Linked DNA regions of Canis lupus familiaris. The main gene of each other region encodes a partner of the protein of the gene in region 2 in a complex. Links are inferred from orthologs where the notes say so. Each region holds a gene or a part of one and is shown on either strand. Other genes may lie near its edges. The genes, in order: HRAS, GRB14 and INSR.

Region 1 (7,427 bases), on a different chromosome or scaffold from region 2:
CCTCACCCCACCTGGTGCAGGAGGAGGCCCTGATCGTGGGGGCCTGGGGCCTTCTCAGGCTTCTTCGTCCCAGGCTTCCAGAAGCTCCTCAGGTTCCAGGCTCATCACCAGCGCGTCCTCCAAAGAGCTCTCCCCGACCTGAGGAAGCACATGGCACATGGGAGCTCCTGAGGTTCCGTCCCCGGGGTCCGGGGCAGGGGGTGGGGGGCACGGCCCTCCGAGCTGCCCAGAGTTGGGGTCACGTTCCTCCCCTGGGGCCCAGGGGCACCCTCGGGGCTGGGCAGGGCTGTGGGGAGCGCAACAACGGGCTCCAGGGGCTGCGGTGTGGGGCCTGAGCACCTCCTGCCCTCCCGCCAGGACGAGGAGCAGATGTCCACCGGCATCTATACCCCAAAGTGGTTCCTGCAGTGCTTCCTCAGCCGAGTGAGGCCCCCCAGGAACCCCGCTCCCGGACCTGCCCCCTGCCCCCGGGGAGGGCCAGCTCAGCCCCACCCTCCAGACGAGCCAGGCCGGACCCCGGGGCCCTGAGGCTGAGGCTCGCAGCCCAGCCCGTCCTGGAGAAGCCCAGAGGGTCCCTGGACGAGGTTCCGGGGGGCGGGCCGTCTCTGCCTCAGCTCCCCTGGGGGAGGCCAAGTCAGCCCGGGGTGTAGACGGGCCCTCGGCCCATCGGGCGGCCAGCCTGGGGTCCTCTCGAGGCGTGGTGTCGTCAAGTGCAGGCAGAGTCTGTGCCCCCAGGGGTGCGGGAGGTGCTGGCCGGGGTCGGAACCCGGAGCGGCCGGGAGTCCTGATCTCCCTGGGAGGAGGGCACGCACTGGGGGGGGGGGGGGTGCTGTGGTGCCTCGTTGGAGGCAGCCGGGGGGGCAAATGGCAGGCCTAGCTTAGCCCCAGCCAAGCCCCCCAGGGGCCCTGCTCAGGCCGCTCCTCCCACCCCGCTGTCCCCTAGACCCCCTTCTCACTCACCCTGAAGCTGTGGGATGTTTACATACTGGATGGGGAGCGGGTGCTCACGGCCCTGGCCTACACCATCCTCAAGGTGCACACAAGTAAGTGAGCCCCTGGGAGCCCAGAGGTGGGGAGGGGGCAGGGGCGGTGACCCTGTGCTCTGAGCAGCACCCAGACCTGGGGCGGGGGGGACGGCGGGGCAGGCGGGTGCAGTGGGGCTCCCTGAGAGGAGCAGCGGGCAGGGGCCACCCCGGCCAGCGCACTGCCCACGGCGCTCCTGGACACAGCGGGACCCCAGCCGCTGGACTGGGGGCACTAGGGGCCCCAGGGCAGGGCCTTCTGGGTCTGACTCTCACCCACTGCCCAGAGAGCCTCCTGAAGCTGCCCCTGGAAGGGCTCCGGGAGTTCCTCCAGGACTCTCCGGCCCAGCCCTGGGCCCTGGAGGACGAGGCGGTGCTCAGACACCTTCGGGCCTCCATGACCCAGCTCCGGAGGATGCGGTGCGACCTGCCCCCACCCAGGTGGGCTCAGGGCCCCGGCCCCTCCCGACTCGGCCTGCTGGGGCCACCCAAAGGGGACAGAGCCCCCGTCCTCATCTCTGGGGCTCTCCTCTTCTGCTCTAGCCTTGGGGACTCCAGGCTAGGGCTGGGCGGGCAGGCACCCACTGCAGGGCCCGGGCACCAGTGTGGGGGGCTGAGCACAGGGTCAGGCGGGGGGGCCACAAGGGAGCTGAGGACCCCCGGGGCCCCCAGCGGGGAACACATAGCCTGCTGGAGACGCTGACCCCGTCAGCCTCTTTCCAGCGGGACCTGGAGTTCCCCACGAGGCCCCTCGGCCTGAAGCGAGTGTCCCCGGCGCCCAGGCCTCTCCTCCCTTCTCCGGCCTCTGAGCCACCGCCCAGGGTGGAGGAGCAGGCCTCCCCGGGCCCAGCCACCCAGCCTGAGCCGCCCGGACCCCCTCCCAGCCAGGCCATCGTCCAACTTCCCCCCCAGCGATGGAACTCCCTCCCCACCCTCCCAGTGTAACAAGACGGTGCGGGCAGGTGGCCCCCGGACACGGTGGGCTTGAAGACAAAAAACGGGGTCCCCTTCCCTTCGGCACCTGCCTGGGCCACCCCAGAGGCCCCGCGACGGACCAGGCCCTGGAGCACCCCCGGGACTCCCATCACGGGGTCCCCCCAGCCCCCTAGGGACGACGCTGTCGGGCCCAGGACACCCTTCCTGCCCCGCGGCCACTGCAGCTCATGCCTCTCGCTGGGCAGTGACGGGCACAGCCAGGGCAGAGCCAGGGCGGCGCTGAGCCCGCTGCCCCGAGGCCCCGCACAGGCCCGGGACCCTCTGCCCTCTGCGTCCACAGGGCAGCTCAATGCTCGCGGGCAGAGCGTGGTGGTGAGTGCGGGGGCCCAGAGGCTCTGGCCCGCCGTCACCGTGCCCTGCCTCATCTTGCTGTCCCTCCCGGAGGGCGGCACCCCCCGCACAGGACACCAACCCCTGACCCAGAGGGACCTGGGCTGGCCTGGCCCCAGGCTCTGTGGGGGCAGGGGCGACTCGAGAACTGCCCCCCAGGCCCAGCACTAATGGGATCCAGTGCTCCGGGGCCCTGGCCAGGCCTGCGTTCTGGCCCCGGGCTGAGCGAGCCCTCTCAGAGCCGGATGTGGCCTCCTGGGCCCTGGGCGTGCCCCACAGATCCAGGTCACTGACCTAGGGCAGCCCTGGGGATCCCGGGACACCCCAGGGCAGGGCAGCAGGGGCAGGCCCGTGGGCCCCACCCGCACCCACACCAGGAGGCAGGCTCCTCCACGTGCTGGGGCTCCAGCAGTCAGTCACCCGGCCCCAGTGGGCCCGAGGCCGGGGTCCAGCTGCCCTGCGGGGACCTAGAGCAGGAGCCCATGGGCCGCAGGTCCAGGCCAGCTCTGCTGTCCCCAGAACCGCCTCTCAACACCCCAACCTCAGGACACACACCCCCACCCGGAGTCCGCACAGGCTCCAAAGTGGGCGACTCCAGCACCCGTACCCCCGTGGGATTCCCGCTTTCCTCTAAGGACAGGAAGGTCTCCCAGGGGAAGGCGCACACCCTCGGCTCTGAGCCCGTTTGCTGTTGCAAGTTCAATAAGGTGTTGTGTGAAAATGCACGGCCGGCTCGTTTCTGCGTCTCCCGGAGCTCTGTGCACGGGGTGTGGAGACACCCCCAGAGAGGAGGAGGGGGGACCTCCCGGCCCCGACCAGCCCCTGCAGGGGCGCCGCCAGGCACACACAGCTGACGTCCCCACGTGCCTTGCAGGTGCGGCCATACGCCAGGGTCAAGACCATCAAATAATTTACTGCGACTCAGCCTTTGCCCCGCGGGCAAGGACGGGACTGGGGGAGAGTGACAGCCGGGGGGGCCCGTGGCCTCAGTTCACGACAGTCTGTGCAAAGCGCCCTGGGAGGTCCGTGCTCCCCCTGTCCAGGGGGCCTGGGCTGGCCGGGCCCCGGGGGCGCTTCCTTCCTTCCTCGCCCTCCTCCTTCCTCCTTCCGCGCCTCCTCCCAGCTTCCGGCACCTCCTCGCCCCGAGCCTGTGCGCCTGGGGCACAGAGGACCAGCGGGGCTGCCAACGTGGCCCTGGAGGGGACGTCAGGACAGCAGGCACTTGCAGCTCATGCAGCCTGGGCCTCCCTCGTCGGGCGGGCTCAGCTTGCGCACCTTGTGCTGTCGAATCTCTCGCACCAGCGTGTAGAAGGCATCCTCCACGCCCTGGGAAGACGGGGCTGGCTGAGCGTGCGGCTCGGCCCGGGGGCCTGGCAGCGCAGGGGACCGAGGGACCCCAGCGTCAAGCTCATGCATCATCCCAGCTCCCCCTGGCCTCTCCCCACCCCGCCCCCACACAGGCAGCCCCAGGGCTCCCCCCATCAGGCGGCTTGGCCCTCAGGAGCTCCCCCACAGGGCAGCCCCGAGGTCTGGCTCCCAGCTCTAACATCCAGGGTCCCGCTCCTGTCTGACCTACCACCCTGGTCCCCCACAGCCCATTAAAGAGGGCAGGGCCTACACGGGCCCATGGGGCTTTCTGCGGGCAGGGGCCAGGGCCCCAGGGTCACCACTCGGCCTGGCTCAGGGCAGCTCTCTCTGGGGACCTCTGCCTCTCCCTGGAGCTGTGTCAGCCCAAACCCTGGGCCCCGGCCTCCCTCGCTGCCCTGCCGTCCGGGGACACTTACAGCGCTAGGGGCCGCTGGGTCACGGGGGTCCCGGAGGGTCCCAGAGGGTCCCGGAGCTGGAGCCAGAGCCAGACCGGCTGCCCTGTGTCGGGGGAGAGGGGGCAATAAGCACTGCTCCCTGGCAGGGGCGGGGCGGGGCGGGTCCCCAGCTAGCTGCGGGGTGGGGAGCCGGCTCACCTGGCGCGTCTTGGCTGACGTCTCGATGTAGGGGATGCCGTAGCTGCGGGCGAGGTCCTGCGCCTGCCGGGACTCCACGGTGCGAGCAGCCAGGTCACACTTGTTCCCCACCAGCACCATGGGCACGTCGTCAGAGTCCTTCACTCGCTTGATCTGCTCCCTACAAGAAGGAAGGTGGGAGCCAGTCGGTAGGCTGCAGGCACGGCTGCATCCGAGACCCTGACAGAGAAACGCGATGAGAGGCAGAGGAACAGGTGGCTCTGAGGGCCGGCCGGAGGCTCACCTGTACTGGTGGATGTCCTCAAAGGACTTGGTGTTGTTGATGGCAAATACACAGAGAAAGCCCTCCCCCGTGCGCATGTACTGGTCCCGCATGGCGCTGTACTCCTCCTGGCCCGCTGTGTCCAGGATGTCCAGCAGGCACGTCTCCCCGTCGATGACCACTTGCTTCCGATAGGAGTCCTGCGGCAGGCCAGTGCTTCAGAACGCCCAGCCCCACACCTCCGAGGACGGGGCCACCCAGCCACCAGCCCCTCCTAGGTCCCCAGGTGCCACCCCCAGGTCCCACGAGCAGGGGCCGCCCTCCTGCGGAGCCCACAGCAGACATGCCCACAGCAGGCTCAGGGCTGGGCGAGCTCACCTCGATGGTGGGGTCGTACTCATCCACGAAGTGGTTCTGGATGAGCTGGATGGTCAGGGCGCTCTTGCCCACGCCTCCAGCGCCCACCACCACCAGCTTATACTCCGTCATGGCTCCTCACGGGACGCAGCACAGGACGCCAACGAGGTCTCCTGTCCCACCTGCTGAGGAAGCTGCTCTCAGCCCTGAGCCAGCCCCGTGGGGCAGACCACCCCGGCCCCGACCCGGTCCCCAGGCCCCACACAACCAGGGAACCGGGCGCAGCCGCCCACCTGTGGCACCTCCAGCGGGGGGGGCGGCGGGGGGGGGGGGGTAGGCACCTCGCCGGCGCTCATGGCTGCGAGAGAGCAGGGAGAGCTGACAGCTGAGAGCATCTCCCAACCACGCACCCAAATTAGAAGTTGCTGGGTAGGCAGAAAGCGTGCACTGGAGGGACCCGGAGGCCCTGCAGGCTGAGATTACCGCCCCTCCCCGCAGAAACAGGTCCTGCCACAGCGGAGTGCAGCAGCGTGCCCGGGCAGGCCAGAGCCCCGCCGCGCCTCGCTGCACCGGACTAGCATCTGCGGAGCGCCCGCGGCCGCCAGCTGCTGCTCCGGGGGCGAGGCCCGGGCCCTCCTGTCCCGGGGGGAGCCCCAGGCCCGCGGCCGCTCGAGCTTCGCAGGAGAGCAGCGGCGGGCTGCGGGGATGGCGGCCCCGGGAGCAGGCCGGCGGGGTAGGCGCGGGGACGGCGCTGGGCCGCGGCCTCCGGCCCGGCTCCCGGTCTGGGAGGTTTCGGGACGCGGTGCCCGGGGCTCCGGTGCGAACGCCCGGCTCGCCCGCTGTGCATCGCGGAGGCCGCCCGCCGCCCGGGCCTCGGGGGCGCGCCTGGCGACCTGGGGGCCCCGCACGCGGCCCGCGGAGGAGAGGGCGCGGACGCCGCCGCCCGGGGCGCCCCCGCACCCCGCACCTCGCACCCCGCACCCGCCGCAGCGCCCGCCCGCGGCTCACCTGCGCCCCCGCGCGCCCCGCCGCCGCCGCCGCCTCCACCGCCCGGCGCCGCAGCCCCGGCCGCCCCCGCCCCGCCCCGCCGCCCGCCGCCCCCGCCGCACTCACCGCTCACTGGCGCGACTGCCCCCGGGGCCGGGGCCGGGGCCGGGGCGGGGGCGGGGAAGGGGGCCGGGGCCGGGGCGCGCGGCTCGCCCAGCGCATGGGCTCCGTCCGCGGAGGGTGCGGCTCGGGCTGCGGGCTGCGGGCGCGGGCGGGCGGACACTCGGGGGGGAGGGCGCGCACGCCCCGCCCCGCGCCCGTCCGTCACGCAGGCGCGGCTCGCCATTGGCCGCGGCCGTCGGGCCACGCCCCCGCCCCGCCCCGGCCCGCCCCGCCCCGCGCCGGTTGGCCGGCCCGCCCGCCCGTCACGGGCCGCGGCCGGGCGGGGCTTCCGGGAAGCGGCGCGGAGGGCGGTGCCCGGCCCCGGAGGCCCTCGTGGGCCGCGGCCTGGGGGGGCTGGGCTGCGCCCGCGGGCGCTCGGCGGGAGCGCGAGAGGCGCGGGCCGGGGCGGCGGCCTCCGCGGGGAGCTGCCCGACAGGACCGCGGGCGGCGGTGCACCGGGGCGGGGGCGCTGCAGACCGGCGGGAGCCCGTGTCCCGCGGTGGGGGGCTCCCTGCGCCGCGAGGCCCAGCGGAGGGGTCAGGCCGGGAGACGAGGCTCGAGGAGGGTCAGGGTCGGCGCGCCGGGCGGACGGCCGGGACGGGAGGCGGGCGCCGGGGCAGGCCGGGCCGCGCCCCGAGCTCTGGGGCCTCATGGCCGGGGCTCGGTGCCCTACACCCCCGTTCCCATCAGGTGGCTCCGGAACGGGCGCCTGGCACCTCGGCTTCGTCGTGCGCGCGGCACCCGGGGCGCCCAGGCCACAAGGGGCAGCGCGGCGCGGAGCATCGTTTGATCCCGCCCCAGGGGTCTCGCTGGGCCGCAGCCTCGCCCCTCTCCTCAGCCTCCCCCTGCAGGCCGGCCCGCCCAGCCCCCTAGCCCGGAGGCTCCGGCCCTGCAGACGCTTGCGCGGGGCCCAGTTAACGATGGGCCCTCTGCAAACCAGCCCGAAAGCTGCCCGAGGGCTGCGTGCCGACGGCTCCCCCATCCGGAGCGCGAACACGCACACCCCGCATCTTTTCCAGACTTTCAAAAAAGACGTGGTTTCGACATTTTATTTTAAATTTCAAAGTAGTGCATCAACACACCGTGCTTGTTTACAAAAAGGAAGAACGGTGCAGCCCGCAGGAGGCCCAGGCTGGCCCCGCTCTGGCGGCCCTGCCCGCCCTCCCGTCCTGCCCCCTCCGGTGCCGGCGCGCGCTGTTCTCGTGGAGCCCCTCCCACTGCAGGCCGTGACCTTGGCGGGCCCCTCGGGGGGGGGGGGGCTGCCCCGCCCGCACACATCGCCTACAGCACGTGCCGAGGCCGTGGCCGGTTGGCCGGCCCGTGCACTGCGCGGTGGCTAGGACAGAGCCC
Region 2 (7,431 bases):
CATAGGGACTTAGGGTAATTCCAAAAAGAGGCCATTCAAAAAGAAACTAACAACCTCACAATCTTATATAACTGAAAGTAGGCTGAATCTCTATTCCACACTACCTGGTTCCGATATACAGATCACATGCACACACACATGTGCACATACACAGAACATCAGCAGAAGCAACAGATATCCCAAAGCACGTTGCATTACTCAGGAACAGAATTACAGAAATTTTTGAAATGTGCTCAGAATAGTTTAAATATTCTCCAGTTCTGCAGCACCTGTGTATATATCCATGATTAAAAACAAAACCACAAAAACAACAACAACAACAAAACATGTTTGGGATAAGAAAAGAGAAAAGGGGTTGCCTGGGTGGCTCAGTTGGTAAACATCTGACTTTGGCTCGGGTTGTGATCCCAGAGTCCTGGGATCCAGCCCAGCGACAGGCTTCTTGCTCAGCTTCTCCCTCTGCTCGTGCTTGCTCTCTCACTTGCTCATTCTCTTTCAAATACATAAATAAAATCTTTAAAAAAAATTGTCTCTCACTGAATATTTTAGGTCATTTGTTAAAAAAAAAAGACAGCGTTTGAAAATAATGGTTTTTAAAGAACTGGTAGTAGAATTCAGAAAGAATCTTTAGTGGCCTTTTAACAATAGGTGGCATGGGGTCTATACAATATTGGTAAATCATATTTCATGGAAAAAGGGAAATTGAATTTTTACAATTCCTGTATTTCTTATATTAATTCAGGCTCATAAAACCGTTTCTGCCAAACTTAAGTCTAGTCAAAGCACAATCACCCCAGTTATATTTAATAAAAGATCCAAAGAAAACCAAAGTTTCCCAAAGCTTATGCATTAAGATCATCTCTAATACACGAATGTGAAATCACAAATTACTTACTGGTATAATTTGAAAATGCTTTATTTTTTGTCCATGACTCATTGACAGTACGAAAGTTTTGGGGTTACTCTGACTATCCCGTACCAAGAAAACTCTAAAGAGAGAGAAGGAATTTCAATATATGTTTCTATATTTACTCATGTATTTCAGAAAAAAATATAGCATGTAATAAATCCAGGAAATATTTAGCCACAGTTTCCCTTTATTGTGTGTTCAATGATGGGATTGTCCAACATGGTAAACAATATGGTATAACATAATCTTATACAACTGTCATCAGTGCTAATTAAATTTTAATAAAATAAATACACAGCCCATTTGTCAGACTGTTCGCTCAGAATAAGGAAATATAATGCTATGCTGACATCAATAATTAGTGCTATTTTTTTTTTCCATTGATGAATTGGGTATTCACATGTAACACATTTCTGCAGAGAATGGGGGGCATGAGCATATCATTACTTTAACTTCTGGGTTATGTTAGTCCTTGAAAAGAGAAAATTCCCTCTTCAACACTGATCCTCCTTTTTCTTTTGATTCTGGTTCCTGTTACATATCCAACAGAAACTGAGAAATGAATATATTCAACAAAATCAATCCTGATCACCTATTAAATGTTTGAGTACACTATTTTAAGTAAAAGAAACCCCCAAACAATATATATTTTAATCTTGAAGAATGCAGCAGAAAACCCCCTATAATGTCAGGCTAGCAAAATAAGACATGGCCTGATGGCCTAAGGGAAAAATGCTACCAGGCGTGGATTCTTATTTACTGGCAATAGAGTGCAAAACCAGCTTTGTGTTAATTGTTGGCAAACAGATTGTGCAAACGATCCCCCCTGGTGGCTCCAATACTAATCTCACTGTGCCTGGGCAAAGAGGCAGCCGAATTTGAGCCATCACAGATGTCTGATGAGATTATCCATTTCATTTGTACCATGTGAGATTCCTACATTACATCACTGGGAGATGGGACAAAAGGGAGTTTCACTGGTAAGACAAGCTGTAATTCCCTCCCCACTCCCGAGCGGATCACCACCACCATCTAGTGGACTGCCTGGCATCATCACATCTTTCCAAAGGATCCTGTCCCCCTCCTCAAATTTTTTATTAAAATATTAAAAAAAATAAAGATGTTACCATCCTTTATGCAATTATTTTATTCAATTTATAAAAACCAGGCTCTGAGAGTAGGGAGATTATAATCCTCCAAAACATTTTAACGATTCTTTGTGATTTATTTTTCTTGGTCTCATCAGATTGTAATTCTGCTGATTGTTCAAATTTATATCTAAAAAGACTGTGCTCCACATAGAGTATATTAAAATCTTCTCTTATTTAGAGTCTAGTGAAATGCTGACTTGCTATTAATAATCTTCCATGTGAAGATGCATTTTTATCCAAATGTCAGTATTAAATCACCTTGAAATCTTGTCATCATCTTAAGCCAACCCTTGAAGATAAAAGATCCCATCACCACTTGTTTAAATTGATGCTGGTTTCATTTCTCATCCAAACCTCAATACAACCTCCTTGATTTGTACTGCATTTGAAAAGGGAATTTAGCCAGTATTATAGAAAGTATTTGAAATACTGAGTAACTGGAGAAAAAGAAAATTCTTTAGATTGTAAATATTTCATAATACAATTGACATTTCTCTTATATCTCCGATGGTACCCCACTAAAAGATGACTCAAGTACTCTTCATAGTTACACTACTTTAAGCTGTTAAAATTTAGATAACATAGGAATGTAAGAGAGAAAAAAAACAAGCAGTCAAAATATACATAAAAGTTTTAAACTGAATGCAGTCTGTATCAAACTTAAAACTATACAGAACATGTAAGATTATGCCATGACACAAACTACACTTTGGAATCCCATGTTCAAATCAAAATGTGGATACCTCAAAACAAGTTCAGTTTTAGCTGAGATACTACTATTGGCACAGAATGGGCAATATTAGTGATTTTTGGTTAACAGCAGAGTGTCCTATTCAGTTATCTGTTCATTTATGCACAACTACTAAGCACACGGGATGTAATAGGTATTATGTAGGTATTGCTAGGATACAATGGTAAGCTCCCATACAGAACAAAGTCACTTCCGTTATCATAAGCTAAAGTCAAAACTATGTGTATTAACTAAGTAATTACTGATTCTAAAAGAACTCAAAATCACTACCATTCAAAATCAAACTTACCCATCCACAAGTCCTTGCTGAATAATCAATCGCTGAGCTTCTTCTCTAGAAATTTTGTGGTGAAACCATGGCTGGGACCGGTGGATGGCTGAGGAAATAAAGTGGAGGAATACAGAACTCTGTTTGAAATGCTCACAATTTCATTACATATACTTTCCACCAGAGCCACCCAGTCACCATACCAAAGTGCCCATCCATCCAGACATCCAGTCCCCGTGAACAGGCAGAGACATACCCATGTTTGTGGCAGAGCTCTGGGAAGAGGCAGTTGGGCTACCGTGGGTGGCCAGGCGTAAACATCCTTTTTTCTGCACAAAGAAAGGGGAAGCAAATTTCAATTTTTGGGGTGAGACAGACTCAAATCATAAATATTTTGAAGAATGTGAAGCTATTTGTACCCTCCAAGCGAGTCCTTCTTCAACAGCAACTGAAAGGGCTTCTGTGGGATTTTCTATAACTCTGCTTTTCTGTCCTGAGAAGTCCATTGCTACGAGAGAATTCTCTGATATACTTCTCTGGAAAAAAAACCACATTTTTTACCATGAAAATATCTTTGAAAATTATCTCTTAGTATTCTGCTGGCAATACATTTCCACTATAGAATGTGTGATTCCAAAGGTGGCTGGCAGGAAATTTAAAAAATCAAAAGTGCATATTTAAGATAAAAAAGGTGCTATGAAATATTTTGGTTAAATAAGTTACATAGTTATTTGTCAAGGCTGAATTAAGTGGTTGAGAAAAGAGACTAAAAGCTTTCAAAGTTAGCATGTCTTTCTCTTAGAAGAACCCTATCTTTTCATATTCTCTAGTAAAATGGGAACACGCCAATTTAGAAAGAAATAACTCTTCCTGTGGCTAAAAGACCCACCACTTCTGAACTAGTCTCTACTATGATTTGCGATTCATCCATTATCATTCAAATGTCAACTGTGGGGGCACCTGGGTGGCTCAATTGGTTAAGCATCTGCCTTCTGCTCAGGTCCTGGGATGGAGCCCCATGTCAGGTTCTTGCTCAGCGGGGAGTCTGCTTCTCCCTCTCCCTTGCCCCCACTCATGCTCTCTTACTCTTTATCTCTCTCTCTCAAATAAATAAATACAATTTTTAAAAAATGTCAACTCTATTTACTGATGAAGCAGCTGTTTCCTAAGACTCAAGACAGACAAAAGCTTTAACAGATTGACTTACATCACTTCTTGAGAAAGAAATAGTATTCATATTTCATAATGGAACAAACTACAGTATGTATTTTAAAACTGTATCACATCAATGTTCATCTTACTTAGAAAATAAAATTTATGGGTGCCTGGGTGGCTCAGTCAGCTGAGCTCCGACTCTTGATTTCAGCTCAAGTCATGAAGTCAGGTTTGTGAAATGAAGCCCTGTGTGGGGGCTCCACAATCCACGGAGGGGGGGTGGGCCTGCTTGAGATTCCCCCCTGGCACTCCCCAGCTCATGCACATATGCGCATGTATGCATTCTCTCTCTTGCAGAAATAAATCTTTAAAAAAAAAGAAAATTTAGTGAAATAATGGCTCTGCTAATTCCATAATATTAAAAATTCTATGATCTAATATCTGAGTATTTTTTTCATCTTGTGAGGACACACATGGAAAAACTGAGAGCTGGGCAGCCTGGGTGGCTCAGCGGTTTAGCGCCACCTTCAGCCCAGGGCATGATCCTGGAGACCTGGGATCCAGTCCCACGTCAGGTTCCCTGCATGGAGCCTGCTTCTCCCTCTGCCTGTGTCTCTACCTCTCTAACTCTCTCTCTCTCTTTCTGTGTCTCTCATGAATAAATAAGTACAATCTTAAAAAAAAAAAAAAAAGACAAACTGAGAGCTACAAAAATAAATCTGATAGAAAAAGAACTGACATCACCAAAGATAATTTAGACAGGTAATACAGTCTTCCCTCTGCCATTACTTTTTGTCTTCTCTGAAGGTGAATATATCCAAACCTAGACTTTATTTTTTTGTTTAGGGCTCTGCTTTGCAAGCATCTTTTAAAAAAGAGTGCCATTCCCAGTCATGCATCCTAAAAAAAGAAAACATTTTCAAATCACCCGTCAAGAGCCTCAGTTTGTAAGAATTAGCACTCTCCCAAAGGAAAAAAAAAAAATTCAAAAACAGCATGGACAATGTTCAACACTTACTCTCTACTCATTAATAGGGGAGCGAAACAAAAAATGGAGTTCTAATGGTAAAGGAAGAGCCAGTGTGCCCCTGGAGACTCACAGCTTAAGTCTGTTTTACAGCTCTCCACGTGGTTTCAGCCCTTCCTAGCTTGGTCTAAAACCCTGTAGCCAAATGTATGCTTGAAAGAAAACCTTGTCTATGCAAAAAATCAGGGGCTCACTTATCACTGCATCATACGTCCTCCATCGTTAGCGTTTGCTATTTCCTCTTCAAACCCTGCTGTAGTGGTCCACAATCTTATTACGGTTCATCTTTATTTCTAGAGATCCGGCATGCAATCTTTCATTTGTTACAGGAGCCTTTGTAACTGACAGCTGCTCTTTCCAGACAGATGCTGTCTCTGTAATCTCTATCTGCTGTCACACCTTAGTTTGCCCTTCTCACCCCATGATCTTCTGTGCCGGGCTGTAGACCAGTCGGGTACACTTCTGCTTTGCTGACATTAATGAAAAGCCTCCACCTGCCCAAACCACAGAGTAACTAATCTCAATCATAATGATAGCTTTATCCTTATAATATCTCTACTTCACATGCCAAGATGGGTGCTCTAATCACAAGGTCCTGATAACACAAAAACACTGTTAGGAAAGAAAAATAAACATAGCCAGTTGTTTTTGTTTTTGTTTTCCTACAACAGGATAGAATGTAAAACAAGTTCCTGTGTTCCCTAATTACTTGACATTAGTAGGGAGTCTACAGTACAAATAAATATTTTCATTTGCTACATTAACAACACTAGGGAAAACACGGGAATATAGCAAATGTTTTCTATTGAATAGCAGGTGGTGGATGAAAAATTAATAGTTTACCTTTGGTGGACAAAGAAATAGAAGTGAAGCAGAATCTGACTTGAACTCAAAAGGTCATTTTCAGCTCAATTTCTTTCACGTAAGAAAGTGATGTTGATAACATTCAGGATCAGTGTATTTCTCAAATATTGGTCCCTTTTTCTAGCTCTTTCTTCTGGTGGAATAAACAGGGCAAGCCCTGAAAAAGGGTCCATGATTTTAATAACACATCTCTTTTTTCAAGAAAGAAGAAGTCTGGCTACACCTTGGATTATCCAAGCCACACTATGAGATCAGATCCAGTCACTCCTAGTGAGCTTTGGACATAAAAATGTTTTCCCGGCAGTTTAGGTAGGTGATGACTAGTAGCCACACACTCTCTGTCACCCTATTGGAAAGATGTAGATAAGCCTGCAGCACAGTCCTTAGCAAGAGGGCACAGGAGTTCCTGATATCTGCTTCATACAGAGTCACAGGACATCAGAGATATAATCAATTCCCGAACGTAAGCAACTGTCCGCCTTGTTTTACACTGCAGGACACTGGTGACTGAACCAAGGTCACACAGGTAGCTTACGGTAAAAGCAGTTGCAGACCCTCTCTAAGGTTTTTTATGTACCACAGAGTAGGAGGTACAGGAAGAAAGTGCAGTTTTCCACATCTAGCTCAGGCATAAGAGTGAGGATAATGACTTGAGTAGACTAGTTTTCCCCATCCCAATGCTCTAGTCATCCCAGCCATCCTAACAGACGCTCCTTTGTGCTGAAAAGGACCAGATATTTGGCTTCCTGAAATATCTGTTTATGATTCTTATTTCAAAGGCAGATAGGGGTGGCCATGATGTGCTGTACCTAGCTATGATGTGCAATGTGGTATGGGAAAAACTTTTTTTCTTCTTTCCCTTCTCAAAATGTATCCCTGGAGGAGTTAAGAATATTGTTCCTTTAAAAATATAACTAAAGTATACTCAGTTATTCTCACTGAAGATAGTGCTTGGAAGAAAACCAGCAGAGGCAGTTGAGGAGCACTGGCATCCATTATATAGGTCACTGATTCTTCCGTGATAACCTAGAAAGGTGGGATTCTGTGTAGACATCAAAGTAAACACAAATACCTCCCAAAACATCTCAGTTTCCTTCATGTAAGTTAAGAAGAGTGGAGATATAATTCTCAAGTGCTGTTCTGTTTGATCTTGACAACTGCTATACCGGACAGCCAGCTCCTCACTACACAGGCCCCCTACAAAATCCCCACTTCCATCCAGATTCATTCAAGTGTCTTTCCCTATACATGGTGTTGAACGAGCAGTTACACTAACCAACACCATGATATCGATCAACAATAGGA
Region 3 (7,600 bases), on a different chromosome or scaffold from region 2:
GAGCAGAAGCGGAGCTCAATCCCAGGACAGTGGGATCATGACCTGAACCGAGGGCAGAAGCTTAATGGACTGAACCACCCAGGCGCCCCTAATGTATGTACTCTTAATAGAAAGTAACACCAGGGGTCTTGAAAGAAAATCGCACAGCAGACACCACTTTCTTTTGAGTTCTAGACACAAAGCCGACAGCGAGGGATCCTCATTCAACGCCAAGATGACTGTGCAAATAAATAAATCTTGATACCATAGACACAGCTAAGGAGGGGACATCATGGTATTTTCTCCCCGTTGGAACCCATATGTTCAGAGAGCGTACATGTCTCTGTAAAGGGGAACACGCCACAGCATCCCCAAGCATTCGTGATGCACTCATGTCATACCAGGGGCCACGCAAGCGATTAGGCATGTCATCATGATCCTCAAAGAGTCTGTCATAAATCAGGAGTCCCAAAACTCTCCCCGAGAAGGGCCAAGATATACACATTTCTATGGGCCATGCAATTGCAACTACTCAACTCTGCCATTAGGGCACAAAAGCAACTGTTAAGATGATGCCAATAAAACTTTATTCACAAAACCAGGTGTGGGCAGGCGGGAGTTGGCCTGTGGGCCACAGTTTGATAGCCCCTGTTCTAGATGAAGGAGTCTGACTACGTAAATTCACAACTGGGCTGAGAGTGGATGGCAGTAGGGATTGGCCCTCTAGGAAGAAAGAGCTAACATCTGAGCCCAGGGAAGGGAGCAGAGAGGATGGAGAGAGAGCCAGGTGCAGGTGAAAACTCTGCAGGAAACCGTGCCTTCCTGCCCTCCCCGAGGGGAGGGAGTGGACAGTGGCAGGCCCCGAGAGGTCAGCTGGGGTGAGGCGACAGGAGACGCACTTGGGAGGTGAGGGATTACCTTCACAAGAGCCATGGGCAAAGCAAAGCGATGGAGACATTAGCCAGATGCTGCGGGCAGCACAGTGGGCCAGAGGTGAGAGGGAGGGTGGTTAGAGCCCACCGGGGAGGCTTGGCAGGGGAAGGCTGGAGGCGGGTGGTGGGCCGGGGGTCGAGGGGCGGGGTATTGATCCTGGAACAAAGAGAGCAGGGACCCAGGTGGGTAAGTGTCCTAGACAAAGAAAAAGTTATCTTCCTGAATGTGGCTGTTCTCAACTGGGGCGGCTGGCAATGCCCAGAGACACTCTTGATTGTCATGACTGGAGGGAGGGACGTGCTACTGGCATTTTGTGGGTGGAGAAGCCAGGGATGCGGCTCCACTCCTCACAATACACAGGACAGCCAGCCCCCCCACAACCGGGAACTGTCTCAACCCAAATATTAAGAGCGATGAAGTTGAGAGGATCTACTCTATCCAGGTTGAGTCACTGACGGAGTGGGCTGCAGTGGGGACCCCAGGGAGCCCCACCCCAATGACCTCCATGAGTGAGTGGGACAAGGATGGCGGGCAGGGCTCCAGGAGGGAAGCAAAAGTTAAGAATAACCTCAGGGAGGTTAGGAAGTAGGCAAAAGTCCTGCTCCGAGGGCCCCCAAAGCACACAAGAGGACACACAAGAGAGACATCCGAGGCCACCCTTGTGAAATGAGGAGTGCCCGAGAAACCAGGGCGCTCTGGAAGCGAGCCTCTCTCACCTTAATTAGCCAACTCGCTGGACTCCCCCCGAAGCCCCGCAGGTTTTTCTTTTAATTAATCCCACATTGCCTTCATCCTTTAACTTTGCAATGCCCCCAAGTAATCTCAGGCCACTGCCAGCCAGTCCGAGGAGAAACAGAGGGGGGAGACACTACCCATTTCAGCAGAGCAGTAGGGACTCCACAGGAGAGCGGGCCAAAGTAGCACATCCCATAGGACATCCCCCCCTAAGAAAGTCCTTCACTTCTTAAACATCACACCGCCACCACCCCAACCAAAACGCCCTACAGGCTGACATTAGAGATTAATGATCTGTAAAGTTTCTCGAGGTTTCCGAACCTCTGAGGGGCATCACATCTCATTTATTCAATAGGATTTTGTTAACCATTACCACAGGTCGGTGGGAGGGAAGCTCAAACCCAAGAGAGCCACCTTTTATGAAGAAATCAGGCCAAGTAGGGTCCTCAGCAGCTCTGCCGCCTAGTCAAACTGCCTCACCTGGGAAAAATGATAATAAACCCCACCCCACAAGGCCATGGTGGGGATTAACTAAGATTATATATTCGGAGCACATGGAAAAGCCCCCGCCAAGAGCTTGCTCTTATGACTATGTCTAAGTTGGGTATTACCCGAGGAATGAAAAAGCCATAGCTTGGAGTACTGGTGAGAACACGAAGAATATGAGCTGAACCAAGAACAAATATTTTAACCAAACACCTTCTATGTGCCAGGCACTGTTCTAGGCTCTGGAAACATCGCAGTGGACAAAAGAAGTATATGCCTCTACCCCTGTGGAAACTGTGAACATGTAAAGAAGCGGTAAATCCACCTCCTGGGCCCTGCAAGCCCAGGCACAAGTCCACAATAAATTACCAAAGCTACAAGGAACAGAAGAGCAGGGAACCACACACACACATGCACGTGTGCAGACGCACGCACATACATACATACACAAATCCTAGACTAGTCCTAACATTTGTCTGGAGTTTCTTAACAAGAACTCAAGCCGACTGCCACCTTTATTGAGCGCCCGCTGTATACCAAGCACTTGGGCCTCGGAACCGTGGTGTAACTGAGAGAGGAGCTCCGCAAACCTGGATTGTCAACGCCAGAGCCTGTGCGTGCTTTGCCAGGGACCTCATTCCCCATCAGGGAGCTCAGGAGCTGCTTTCCTTCCCTCCCCGACCCCTTCCTCACCATGACTGATTTCCTTTTATGGACAATTCTGAAAAAGTAACCCAACAGATATTTTTAAAGTGGGGCCTCAAACACCAGTGGGGAACTCCAGCCATGTTCTCTTAAAGGTTCTTCATTTCTTGCCCCACAAGCAGAAAGGACGGCTACCAAGCCCAAGGCCGATGCTGGAGTTGGGGTTTGCCTCCATCTGCTGCCAGCGCAGGGAGGCTGGGGAGGGAAGTCCATGGGGCTAGGGGGTGTGAGAGCCTCTCCTGAGGTTAGAGACCTCCCTGGACTGGCAGGTAAAAGAGCCCTTGTGAAAGGCAGAGCTGGAGGGGGGGGTGTGGGGGTTATGGGGAGACATAGGACATGCAGCAGTCCAGAGCCTCCCCAGGGCACCACACAGAGAGGTTAGAGTCCTCCCTCTGGCCCTGACTTTAGGGCAAATCGAACCGTCTCCTAACCTCAGCCTCAATTTACTCCTCTATGAAATGGGTAACGCGTATGGACCTCCGGAGGCCACTGTGAAGGTCCAGAGAGATCAGTCCGGGGCATTCGGTGACCCTAACTATAATAATCATAATAAAGACAACACCCCCCCCCCCGCCCCCTTCTGCTACAACAAAGGCCCTGTTGCCAAGGCGCTAGAGTTTGCCTCCGGACATCTGGAAACAGAACCCAAAAGTGTAAACATGGATCTGAAGTCCGGGTAGCCACCGGCCTAGGTCCAAGCAGAGGGGTGGGATTCTGCAGTGCCCCGCCTGGGGCGCCCATCCGCAGAGACCCCGAGGGACCCCGTGCGCCCGCGGCATGCGGTGCCCCCAGGTCGCCCGGACCCGGGGACCCAGCGGGCACCCGGGTCGCGTCTCCCGGGCGAGCGGGGCTTGGAGAGGGCCGGGCACGGGTGCGAGGCGCGTCGGGAGGGGCGCCCGCGGCGGGGCGGGCACTGGGGCAAGGTTCCTCGGGGCCGGGGCCCGCACGCGGGGCGCAGAACCGCGAGCCCAGGCGGGCAAAGGCCAAGGTCAGCGGCTTCCCGCCGCGGCCGCCCGCGCCCCCACACGCGCCGGGGAGGGCGCGGGGTCCCCGGTGGCCCCCCACGCGCCCGCCCGCCGCCCTCCGGGGCCCCCGGACTCACCCTCTCCGGGGTACAGGTGGCCCGCGGCACCCAGCAGCAGCGCGGCCACCGCCAGCAGCAGCGGCGCGGCGGCCGCCCCCCGCCCGGCCCGGGCGCCCATGGCTGCGGGAGCGCGGGGTCCCGGCGGCTCAGAGCGCGCGGCGCCGGCCCGCGGGGGTCATGCTCTGCGGCGCGGGGCGCGCGCCCTCCTCTCCGCGCCCGCGGCCCCGCCCGGGAGGGCCCCCACTCGGCCCCCGAGGGGCGCGGGGCCTCGGCCGCTGCAGATCCCGCGGCGGCGGCGGCGGCGGCGGCGGCGGCGGCGGCGGCGGCGGCGGCGGCCCCGACCCGGACCCCTGCGGCCCGGGGCCCGTCCCGCGATCTCAGGGCCCGGAGCCCCTCGCTGCGCCCCGGCCGCCCGGCTCTCCGCCCCGAGCGCGCTGGGCCGCGATCTGCGGACGCCGAGACAGACGGACGCGCGGACGGACAGACGCGCGGACGGGCGGGCACCTGGGCTGGCGAGCGGCGGGCGGGCGGCGGGAGCGAGGGCTGCTCGGCCCGTAAACAACGCGGCCCGTCAGCTGGGCCCCGCGCGGGTCGCGGGAAAAGGCGGCGCGGATCGAGACTCGGAAGGGACTCGGCGCCCGGGAGAGGCCCGGGAGAGGCCCGGGAGGGGGAGGCAGGACGGCCGCGGGGAGGCGCCGCCCCGCCCGCCGCCCTCGCCTGGGCCCCCCGCGCTGGAGGCGCCCGCACCCCGCCCCCCGCGCCCCGCGCCCCGGCGTCTCGGGCCTCGGGGGCGCCCCCGATGCCGACCCATCCGGACGGATCCCTTCCGTAACATTTTTCGCTATTTCGTTTCCCTTGTGGACTTTGGGAGGTTCGGTTTGATTTTTTTTTTTTTTTTTTAAGATTTCATTAAAACGCTGTTTATCTTGGTCCCTGGGGTTTCTGGTACTCCCGTAAATGTTGCACTCGCGTCACCCTCGTCCCAGTCCTGCCAGCGCGTCTCGGACTAGACGCGAGGGCGCCCCCGCCCCGCGCCCGGGGCCCTGCGGACGGCCACGTGCACGCGCGCCCAGGGCGCTCCGTGTGCTCCGTGGCAGGGGCGAGGGAGGGGGGCCTCAGGCGCGGCCTGGGGTGCAAGTCGGAGAAGAGACACCTGGGACAACGTGCAGAACCTCGCAGAAGAGCGAACCAGGCCCCACGGAGCCGGGTTCCAGCGCAGGTGGACACACCCCGTTTTCAACACACAGACCCACAGTCCCTGTGTGTGTCTGAATGTCCAGCAAGTGTCATTCACGAATAGGGCACCATAGCAGCCAAGCCACCTTCCTGAGCTGGGGGAAGGAGCCTTAGGTATAGAAAGCCAGCACCGAGTGGAATCTGGCTCCCCCTCCCCTCACTTCCTGTGTGGCCTTGGACGTGGGACTTTACTCTCTGGCTGGGTTGGCCTCGGCTCTATAATGCCTGTAACAATCCCTGCCGGTCCGATTTGACGAGGTGCAAGAGCAATAAAGCATAAGAAAGCGCCCGGCACAATTCTAGGCAGAGGGCGCTCATTCTTCCCCCTGGTCCATTACGCAAATATTAGTTAGCCAGGAGCTGAGCCCACTGTTCCTCTAAGGCACCAAACCTAATCCTGCCTCCTGGCTTTCACTCTGGCTGTTCCCTCCGCCTGTCCCTCCAGTGGCTGGCTGCCCCTCGGTGCCCCAGTGAGCCTTCCCTGATCACACTTTGCAAACGCCGCCTCCCCCCCCCCCCCATCCCTTTGTTCTGGTCCCTGTTATTTACATCACTCTAGTTTGTCCTGAAATTCTTTGGGTTTTTTGTGTATGGTCTCCCCACTCCATGAAGCAGAAATTCTTCACTATTTTACACCCAGCGCCTGATATATCTGTTGCTTAATAAATATTTGTTGAATGGAAGAACCAACATGCAATAATAAGTAATGAGGATTTACAGTGAGCAAAATAAACACACTCAGTTTCCCTGTAGACCTCACAGTCTGGCGAGAGAGGGGATCCTTGATTAAACAATCCTGGGGCCTAATGTGGGGTGGGGGTGGGGCGTAGGGAAAGGATCCTCCCAAGGAGGTGAGTTGAAGCTGAAATCTGGAGATGAGGAGGAGTCAGCCAAGGAAGACAGGAGGGAAGTGTTACAGGCTGGGAGCCCAGCATGAGCAGGGGCCCAGAGGTGGACAGGCAGGTGTTCCCCCAACTGACCCAGGCACTGGAGCTGGAGCCTAGAGGGAGGTCAAGCAAGCAAAGGTGGACTCAAAGGCAGAATTAGAAGGGGGAAGAGCCTTGGATAGATCATGTTAAGCCCTCTCCCAAAACACCTTCATCCTAAAAGCAATGGGAAGCTACTAGAAGGTGTACACAAAAGGGCTGACATAATTTGATTTTCTTTCCAATAATATCTGCGATGGGGCAAACATAGACCCAGAGAGAACACAGAGTAGCTGCAGTCCCAGAGTATCAAGAATTGTAGGTTCAATAAATGTTGTTCCCCTTCCTTCTTGTGCAAACCTGTCCAGAGCTGTGGGCTTCCCTCTGACCCGTGGGAGCCCCCAAAATCACCACATTCCCAGGCAGGAAGCGTGTGCTGAAAACCACGCGGAAGGAAACACGCTGTCCTCTGGAAATCCTTCAGGACAAGGACTTGCGTGCTGGACCTAAGTCGAAAGAATCATTTCGACTGATCATTTCAGTTGTGACCTGAAAATGAAGACACCACCACTTCCTGAAACCACTCACTGTTTCTTTCGCAAAACCCTCCAAGCCCTCCAAAAAAACAGCCATCTAAAAATTGAAAGTCAACCCTTGCCTTTTATTAAAATCATTGGAACAGAAGCAGAGACACCACCATTTGGCAATCTCTGACTGATTGATTCGGGCGAGAACCCTCTGTGCATGCCAAAACTAACGGTTGGACTTTTAAGAAGCAAATATTTCCACGGTCTCCAAGTATCTCTCTGCAAGATACTTGCTCATAATAAAGGAAAGGAAAAACAGTAGCTTCCTAGAGGAGAAAGCTGGCGGACATCACCTTAAATTAAGTGATCAAAGTTGCTTCTGGATTTCCTTTTGCCGTGTAAGACATTTCCGGGACAATTGGGGAAGACTTAAAAGGTCCATCAATTATATTACTAGAGTATTGAATTAGTATTGAATCAATAGTAATTTGATCGTCGTGCAGAGATGGTGTGAGAGAACGTCTTTGGTTTTAGGAACTACATACTGAATGAAATATGGAGGGATAAAGGGCAGAATGTCTGCAACCGGCTTTCAAATCATTTTGAAAAAAAAAAAAAAGAGAGAGAGAAAGAACAAAGTAGATGTGATCAAGTTTGATAAAATTTGTATATCTGGGGCACCTGCGTGGCTCAGTGGTTGAGCATCTGCCTTGGGCTCAGGTCATGATCCCGGGGTCCTGGAATCCAGTCCTGCATCGAGTTCCCTGCAGGGGACCTGCGTCTCCTCCTGCCTATGTCTCTACCTCTCACTCTGTGTCTCTCATGAATAAATAAATAAAATATTTTTTAATAAATATGTAAATCTGGTGAAAAGTGTGGACATAGGGGTTCACTGTACTATTCATGCAGCTTTGCATGGAGTTCAACAGCATATAAAAATCAAAAGTTTTAAATTTTGAAAAACTACTTGGGGTAGGGCTCCTGACTAG

What was found.
Region 1: the proteins of GRB14 (region 2) and HRAS are in contact, whole or in part, in a crystal structure (PDB 4K81), measured with the Homo sapiens proteins. The link is inferred for Canis lupus familiaris from reciprocal best matches to the Homo sapiens genes GRB14 and HRAS. Residues at the interface, in NP_004481.2 of Homo sapiens: Val109, Lys111, Asp116, Glu117, Thr118, Ser119, Arg120, Ala121, Leu122, Asp123, Lys140, His142; in NP_001123914.1 of Homo sapiens: Glu31, Asp33, Pro34, Ile36, Glu37, Asp38, Ser39, Tyr40, Arg41, Tyr64, Met67.
Region 3: the proteins of GRB14 (region 2) and INSR are in contact, whole or in part, in a crystal structure (PDB 2AUH), measured with the Homo sapiens proteins. The link is inferred for Canis lupus familiaris from reciprocal best matches to the Homo sapiens genes GRB14 and INSR. Residues at the interface, in NP_004481.2 of Homo sapiens: Glu373, Asn374, Ser375, Leu376, Val377, Ala378, Met379, Asp380, Phe381, Ser382, Ser386, Val388, Ile389, Glu394, Val398, Ala399, Glu401, Glu402, Gly403, Leu404, Trp406, Arg407; in NP_000199.2 of Homo sapiens: Leu1065, Arg1066, Ile1069, Glu1070, Lys1112, Arg1116, Arg1163, Met1180, Arg1182, Tyr1190, Lys1192, Gly1193, Gly1194, Lys1195, Gly1196, Leu1197, Leu1198, Pro1199, Val1200, Trp1202, Ser1207, Leu1208, Lys1209, Asp1210, Gly1211, Gln1235, Asn1242, Glu1243, Leu1246.

The regions. Positions count from the first base shown.
Region 1 is NC_049239.1:25,990,824-25,998,250, forward strand, and holds HRAS (GTPase HRas), read right to left. Parts: upstream 5,116-7,427; 5' UTR 5,061-5,115; coding exon 4,950-5,060; intron 4,772-4,949; coding exon 4,593-4,771; intron 4,470-4,592; coding exon 4,310-4,469; intron 4,223-4,309; exon of another isoform or gene 4,215-4,222; coding exon of another isoform or gene 4,152-4,214; exon of another isoform or gene 3,675-4,151; coding exon 3,555-3,674; 3' UTR 3,242-3,554; downstream 1-3,241. Other genes in the region: uncharacterized protein LOC119864195, read left to right, coding at 21-142. UniProt on the Homo sapiens protein: Involved in the activation of Ras protein signal transduction. Ras proteins bind GDP/GTP and possess intrinsic GTPase activity.
Region 2 is NC_049257.1:10,012,130-10,019,560, forward strand, and holds part of GRB14 (growth factor receptor-bound protein 14), read right to left. Parts: intron 3,617-7,431; coding exon 3,500-3,616; intron 3,410-3,499; coding exon 3,337-3,409; intron 3,190-3,336; coding exon 3,102-3,189; intron 990-3,101; coding exon 896-989; intron 1-895. UniProt on the Homo sapiens protein: Adapter protein which modulates coupling of cell surface receptor kinases with specific signaling pathways. Binds to, and suppresses signals from, the activated insulin receptor (INSR). Potent inhibitor of insulin-stimulated MAPK3 phosphorylation.
Region 3 is NC_049241.1:52,556,264-52,563,863, forward strand, and holds the start of INSR (insulin receptor), read right to left. Parts: upstream 4,021-7,600; 5' UTR 3,941-4,020; intron 1-3,940. UniProt on the Homo sapiens protein: Receptor tyrosine kinase which mediates the pleiotropic actions of insulin.